2 linked regions of the Sus scrofa genome follow. The protein of the gene in region 2 interacts with the protein of the main gene of each other region in a pairwise test. Links are inferred from orthologs where the notes say so. Each region holds a gene or a part of one and is shown on either strand. Other genes may lie near its edges.

Region 1 (3,568 bases), about 45 Mb from region 2:
GACATTAGCATCTTCTAGGGCATAACGAGTGCTGGGACCAGAGGGTGAGAAGAGAGAGGTTCTCCTTGAGGACATTTCTGTTCATTCTCAGCCATTCTTCAGTGTCCAGTGACAAAGGAATATAGGAAATGGTCTTCTTCCTTACATACCAATTCTGTTCTTACTCTGCCAGGTCTGCTCACTGGAAAGATTCCGCTCCTTACAGGACAAGCTACAACTTCTGGAAGAAGCAGTCAGCATGCATGATGGAAACGTCATTACTGCAGTGAGTTGTGGCTTTTATTTAATTAGCTACATTAGTTTCTGAAAGTCCAGTCAGGATAGACTTTAACATTTTAGGTTAAATGGCAAGTAAAACCCTCGATTTTTCTTTCTTTCTTTCTTTTTTTTTTTTGCCACGGCAGGCAACATCTTGAAGTGGGTTCTTAGTTCCTCAATCAGGGATTAAACCTGGGCCGCAGTGGTGAAAGCAATGAATCCTCACCCCTGGACCACCAGGGAACTCCCTGGATTTCCTTCTTGAAGTAGAGGGTTCTCAAAAGTCCACATTCTAAGGCTCACTTAGCAGGACATACATTGTGTATTGTGCTCTTGATTATGACCCAGAGGCAGTAGGTTGGCTACTCTGTGTTCTTAGAAATAATCTGCGAGATGAGAGATGTGGGAGTAGGCTCTCACAGAGGGAGGGAGGAGGCAGCTCTCGCCAGTAGGGGCACAGGTATGTGGACTCCCAGGACCAGGTTTAATCCCTGCTTGTGGGAACTGAGATCCCACTTCCAGATGTGCATCGCTGGTCCTTCCATCACAAAGAGAGACCGTTGTCTGGACCTGCGGAGATTCCTAATGAGTTGCTGACTTTATTCCTAGACATCAGGTGCTCAGGCAGGGCTTTGTGTTTGGAAGGTTACACAGGCTAATTCATTTGGTTCTCTTTTCCTCTAGGTTCTGATCTTCCTGAAGAGGACACTGAGCAAAGGTGAGTGTAGTTTGGGGAAATCTCCAGTCGGTACAGTGTCTGCTACCTTTGAAGGGAGAATGGCACTGTGGCTTTCATACCAGAATTCACCAGCATGAGGTCTGCTTCTGGGACAGCTGGGGTGACCTGAGACTTCTGAGTACACCTCACAACCCTCAGGGGCAGGTGTTCATCCTTTAGGCTGATAACTGCAGTAACTACAAAGCCCCTCCGTGGACTGGGCAGTTGGGTGGCTGTGTTGGTTTGAGGAAGTGAGTGTCCAGCTCGGTGCTGCTGTTTGGGTTGGTGCGAACTGAAAGCTGACACAGAGGCTAAGCGTTGCCCTGGACCGAGGAGTCTGCTGCTGGTGGATTGAGCCAGAGGGATGGGCACCATGGAAACCATTCCAGCCTTTAATGGACTTTGAGGAGATAATGTTTGGAATGTGTGAGTAGGGAGACCAGTGTCCCGTTGAGTAATAGGCTCTAATCTTTGCCCACCTAACTCCTCCTTCTTGCCTGCCAGAGATCCTCTTCCGAGAGCTGGAGGTGCGACAGGTTGCCCTGAGACATCTCATTCACTTCCTTAAGGAGATAGGGGATCAAAAGCTGCTCTTAGACCTCTTTAGGTAAGAACTGATCATCTGGTCTATAAAGTTTGTTAAATACTTTGTTCAAAGCACTCTGGGCGATAATGCGAAGAAAGAGAAGACACTCTCTTTTTTCTGGAAAGGCTTATTAGACGAGATATTGAAAGGTGATGGATAACTCAGACTGCACCACAGCCTGTGGTAAGGTGACCGTGTAGCAGGTGGTTACGAGCCAGGGTCTGGAGTCAAGCATCTGCATTGAATATTGACCCCACTGCTTAGTTCATAGAGTGACTCGGAGCAAGTTACCTAACCATTCCAAGCCTCAGTTTTCACATCTGTAAAAATGGAGATATCTACCCTATAGGTCATTATGAACATTAAAAAAAAAAAATGTGTATTGGAAGTTCCTGTTGTGGCTCAGCAGTAACAAACCCGACCAGTGTCCATGAAGACTTGGGTCAGATCCTTGGCCTCATTCAGTAGGTCAAGATTGCCGTGCGCTGTGGTGTAGGTCACAGACGCGGCTCAGATCTGGCTTTGCTGTGGCTGTGGTGTAGGCTGGCAGCTACAGCTCCAATTCGACCCTTAGCCTGGGAACTTCCATATGCTATGGGTGCAGCCCTGAAAAGAAGGAAAGAAAGAAAATTTTTAAAATGTGTGTAAAGCACTTGGCATAATGCCTCGTCTGTACTTTTAGTATTTACTAAGTACTTCTTTACAAAAGGCCTAGGATAAAGGTATCTTTTATTACTTGGTACCCGGTGATGCCAGAGAGAAACACAGTGGAAGAACAGAAGAAGCAAATATAATTTTCAGTCAGCATATCTGAAGAGGGCCTGTGGAAGTGGTCAGGAACTGAGCTGGGCCTATGAGACTAGGTAGGATTCTAGTAGGTAGAGAGGCCAGAGGTGGGCATATCCGCTGGAGGCTGGGGTTGGTGGGGTTTTGGGGAGCGGGACAGCTGTCTTCCATCCTGATTTCCTTTCCTATCTCACTTTAGTCAATAGGGACTCTTTTCCACTCTTAGATTAAAATGTATGTATATTATGTCCTTTCTTCAATTGGAACCTCTGTTTAGGCTGACCTGTGGCTCAGGGTAACTCCATTTACCCAGCGTCTCCAGCACAGTGATTAGCTGCCCCAAAGACTAAGGTGGGGAAAGCAGGTTACCTGGTCGGGGTCAAGGTTACAGATGATTAGCCAGGTATTTGCAGATGTGTTCACCAGGACAGGCTGTTGCCCACACCCCTCCCTCATTCCCTCCCTTCTTCCTTCCTTCCTCTCTCCCTCTCTCCCAATCAACAAGGCTTTATTAAGCATCACCTCTGTACCAAAGTAGTGATGTTAATTTTAGTGGTCCATTCAGAATAAGACAGAATCAGAAGACAAAAGTCCTTGTTCTCCAAGGCCTTGCCACCTTTGGGGGAGAGACAGAACACATTGTTTGCTGAACATGAAAACAACAGAGGACAACACAGACAATCTGTTTCCAAGATTGTACTGACAGAGAAGCATTTTCATTGTTTTTTTGTTTGTGGTTTGTTTTTGTCTTTTTAGAGCTGCACCCGCGGCACATGGAGGTTCCCAGGCTAGGGGTCGAATCAGAGCTATAGTGCCGGCCACAGCAACTCCAGATCTGAGTCGTATCTGCTACCTACACTGTACGTAGCTCACGGCAATGCCGGATCCTTAACCCACTCTGCAAGGCCAGGGGTCGAACCCACATCCTCATAGTTACTAGTCAGGTCGTTACCTCTGTGCCACCACAAGAACTCCAAGTTTTCATCTTTTAAAAATAACCCAGGAGACTACTGTGGGCTAAGGTTTGGTGGAGGCGCTGAGCCTTTCTGTCAGACCTGGTAACGTTACAGTTGCTAGTGCCCTGCGATGTCTCCTTGTCCTTGCTTTTCACTCAGGTAGAGGGATCGGACACTGCTGATGCCTGATCCACCATGTGTGGACACTGCTGATGCCTGATCCACCATGTGTTTTCAGGAGGCTGCTGGTGGTAGAACTTTTAA
Region 2 (4,351 bases):
AGATTCTGCCTAAGCTGGAGAGAAAGTGAGTGGAATGGGCACCTCACAGCATTCTTGGGGCCATGCTCAAGAGTCTGGCAAACTGTATGACCTGGAGGGTATATATGTGTCACTCATCTGCCAAGAGCAGCTTCTACCTCTGTGCAGCTGAGATTCTGATCTAACTAAGGGGAAGGGCTGGGAGGAAGCTCAATAAATACTAGATGAGCTTTATTAAATTTTTTTTTTTATTTTAATGGCCCCACCTGTGCCATATGGAACTTCCCCAACACCGGATCCTTTTAACCCACTGCTCCAGCCCAGAAATCAAACCCGAGCTTCTGCAATGACCAGAGCCTCTGCAGTCCAATTCTTAACCTACTGCGTCAGAGTGGGAACTCCTGATGTCTTTTATCATGTTCCTACTAACCTCTGTTTCCTATGAGCTGGTAGTTTAGATCCTGAAGCTTGATCAGTTTTGGCTTTTGGCAACAGGTGATGCTTTCTATTTCCTATGTATCTCACCAGGAGATGATGATGTGATGTTACAGCTGATTAGTAAGTACAAGTATTGTCAGCCAGATCTGTCCATTATAATATCTTGTAAGTTTAGTTTTTTTTTTAAGAAGGTAAATATACATATAGAGATTTACCATCACTCCTGAAAATTCCCTAATTTTCTTCCCAATTTTTGTAGCTTTTCTGAAATTTTTTTTCGGTATAGTGTTTCGTGTTCAAGAACCTGATATAGAAGTTGCCATTATGGCTTAGTGGTTAAGAACCCAACTAGTATCCATGAGGATACTGGTTCAATCCCTGGCCTGCGCAGTGGGTTAAGGATCCCGCGTTGCGGTAAGCTGCGGTGTATGTCGCCAATGAGGGTCGGATATGGCTGTGGTGTAAGCGGGCAGCTGCAGCCCCAATTAGACCCTAGCCTGGGCACTTCCATTTGCTGCGGTGCAGCCCTAAAAAGACAAAAACCCCACCCTGATATAAATGGCATACAGATGCCACTCTGAGTCTGGCTACTTTCACTTAGTTATTTTTGTATGAATATACCACCGTTTTATCCATTTTCCCACGAAGGGCATTAATAAGTCAAAACTCCGGTATTGAAGGGTCACAGCTGGCGAGACAGCTTCCATTGGCTCCAAAAGCGTTTCTCTTCTCTCCCCTCACACCCGCCCGCAATTTCCACGCCTCTCACCTGTAGCGGTTTGGAAGAAAGGAGACCGCCCAGTTCTCAGCTAAATTTGTGTTGTAGATTTGATTGACAGCCAAAATCCCCAGGGCTCACAGTGCCCTTCGGATTCCGAGTTGGTTTCGCCCATTTCACGAAATTCTGAAAATCGAGCAAGTGCCCAACGTTTGCTTGAGTGAGCCGGGAGAACTGGATGTACCCTTAGAAGTTAGTTTAAGGTATACTCCTTTTATCGCCTCTGGTCAGGAATTGGACAGCCACATGGACGCGTTGCGCTCGTTTTCAAATGTCCCTCCTAGGATGCCGTCCTTTCTGAATAAGCTAAGCGACAGGCGGGCGCTCGGGACTTCCGGGACGGCCAGGAAGTCGCCTCTCTCGCTCTCTCCGGCAGGAGGCGGGTAGCTTTGCGGGTGTAGCCCCGAATGCTGCTGAGCCAGGTGGACCGGGAGGGGCGGGGCGGAACCCTTTGGCTACGGGCCTGAGACTAGGTCCCCCGAGGCTGCGGCTGCCTGGGCAAGAGGTCGCCATTCATTCCCCACGTGTGGTTGAAGAGCGAGGGCCCCGTCAGGGGCCCTTTGGAAGTCCGTGCTGGTCCCTACAGAAGAGGCGTCCTGCGTGGACCCTGGGCTGCTGCCGGCCTTCTCAGATCGGAGGTCCTCCTCCTCCTTCCACCTGCAGCTCAGGTGACCGGCGCCATGGCTTTTCCCCATCGGCCGGACGCGCCAGAGCTGCCTGACTTCTCCATGCTCAAGAGACTGGCCCGAGACCAGCTCATCTATCTGCTGGAGCAGGTCAGTGCCCGCCACTCCGGGGCCTTTACTGTATCAGCAGGTTAGCATTCACTGGGTGCATAGTTCTTTCTTAACTGAGTTCCTTTGAGCGTGCTCTTGTCCCTTGGTATTGTCCTTGGAGCTTCTGGAGCAGGTCCAAAATGAAGCACCAGGAGAAAAATCAGGGCAGTGAGAGCTCCGTGGGGTGACCTGGCCAGCCTTCCCCCACCCCCTACCCCCTACCCAAACAGGCAAGGGAGACGCCACTAGTGCCAGGCATCAATGGGAATGGAAAGATGGTTGTGACATCTCTGTCCTTAGGGATCTTACACTTCAGTGGGAGCATATGACACAAAATACTACATAGAGAATATGTGTGGTAAATAAGTGCTAGCTAGGGTGCCTGAAACAATCATTTCTAGCTAGAGTGATCTAGGAATTTCAAAGAGCTGGAGTGTGAAGATAAGCGTATTTTCCTTGGAGATGGGAGAGGATGTTCCAGGCAGAAGGACCTGCAGGAAAGTTGAGGAACCAGGGAAGGATAAGTCCTGCAACAGGTAAGAGGGTGATCAGAAGTTACACAGTAGGTATTAGGCAGCCATTAAAGAGTTTTCCTCCCATGCATTCCCTTTGTGGCTCAGTGGTAACAAATCCGACTAGACTAGTATCCCTGAGGACGTGGGTTCGATCCCTGGCCTCGCTCAGTGGGTTAAGGATCTGGCATTGCTGTGAGCTGTGATGTAGGTCACACACCTGGCTTGGATCCCAAGTTTCTGTGGCTGTGGTGTCAGCTGGTGGGCATCTGTAGCTCCAATTTGATCCCTATCCTGGGAACTTCCTTATGCTGCACATTTGGCCCTAAAAGCAAAAAACAAAAACAAAAAAATTTTCTTACTTCCACATGTGGCATGAAACAATACTTGAAGATGTTTCTAATAGCCATGTGTGAAGTTGAGTAAATAAGAAACAAGAAGGCCAGTTAGGAGAACATAGATCAGATTGAAGTAATAAAGGTGCACACAAAATTGATGGCAGTGAAAGTGAAAGAAAGTTGATAGATTTTTAAGTCATGGTGAAAGAAGACTCAAAGACTTATCAATTAGTTGTAAAAGAATCAGGAAGAAGCAAAACTGAGTTTGAGATTTTTAACTTGAGTTAATAGGAAAATAATGCTGTTACTGTAATTGTAATGGATGACATATATAGTCATTTGTTTAATGTTTGTATTTTCTGCTAGATTGGAAGGTCCTTGAGGACAGGGATATACCTATTTTGTCCAACACCGTATACCCAGTGAGTACCTAACTTAGAGACAGACACTAAGCATGTGCTTAATAAATATTTATCACATGGAGTTCCCATCATGGCTCAGTGGTTAACGAATCCGACTAGGAACCATGAGGTTGTGAGTTCAGTCCTTGGCATTGCTCAGTGGGTTAAGGATCTGGCATTGCAGATGCGGCTCAGATCCCGTGTTGCTGTGGCTGTGGTGTAGGCCAGCGGCTACAGCTCTGATTTGACCCCTAGCCTAGGAACCTCCCTGTGCCGTGGGTGTGGCCCTAGGGAAAAAAAAAAAATTATCGTATAACCATTGAATGGAAATGAGAAAAAAAATTAGAAAGAGGAATGGCTTTGGTGGGGGAAGTTGATGTGTTCAAGTTCGGGTAGGTTGAGGTTAAGATACTAGTAGGAAATCCTGCTTGTAATATCCTGCAGATACAAGTGTAGGGTGAGCTCCTGCTGTGGCTCAGTGGGTTAAGAACCCAACTAGCATCCAAGAGGATGCGGGTTTGATCCCTGGCCTCGCTCAGTGGGTTAAGGATCCAGCATTGCTGCAAGCTGTGGCATAGGTCTTTCGAACGAGGCTTGGACCTGGCGTTGCTGTGGCTGTGGTGTAGGCTGGCAGCTATAGCTCCAGTTCAATCCCTAGCCTGGAAACTTACATATGCTTCGGGTGCATCCCTAAAAAGACAAAAAAGCCCACACACACAAAAAAGAAAAGACATGTAGGGTTGCAGTGGGGTGAAGAACCTCAGAGAACCTCGGTGGCGGGGGAGGGGGAGGAGGTGCGTATTTTATTTCTCTGTAATGTGTCCTGTAGTGGTAGCACAATGATTGGCACATGAAAGACCCCAATGGTCTGAGAAATTGAAAGGAGATGCTGGTTAGAGTCACTAGCTCATGAAAGAAACTAAATGAGAACAAGGGTAGAAACTTGTAAATGGAGTGTCCTGAGGAAGAGCTGTCCACAAGGGTGATCAGCATGGTCAAAGCAGATTTCTGTGCAGTAATATCTTTGAACTAACATCCTCTGACTTAATTCTTCTTAGGGCTGTGCTAGTCAGGCTTGAAAACCTTAGAATCATTTTGACTCTCCTTCCCCATCTCACACCTAAATAAA

The links.
Region 1: the proteins of VPS33B (region 2) and VIPAS39 interact in binary tests that used the Homo sapiens proteins (3 or more experiments, as listed by UniProt). The link is inferred for Sus scrofa from reciprocal best matches to the Homo sapiens genes VPS33B and VIPAS39.

The regions. Positions count from the first base shown.
Region 1 is NC_010449.5:100,493,124-100,496,691, reverse strand, and holds part of VIPAS39 (spermatogenesis-defective protein 39 homolog), read left to right. Parts: intron 1-172; coding exon 173-265; intron 266-942; coding exon 943-976; intron 977-1,480; coding exon 1,481-1,583; intron 1,584-3,568.
Region 2 is NC_010449.5:55,839,082-55,843,432, forward strand, and holds the start of VPS33B (vacuolar protein sorting-associated protein 33B), read left to right. Parts: upstream 1-1,530; 5' UTR 1,531-1,875; coding exon 1,876-1,971; intron 1,972-3,187; exon of another isoform or gene 3,188-3,243; intron 3,244-4,351. UniProt on the Homo sapiens protein: May play a role in vesicle-mediated protein trafficking to lysosomal compartments and in membrane docking/fusion reactions of late endosomes/lysosomes.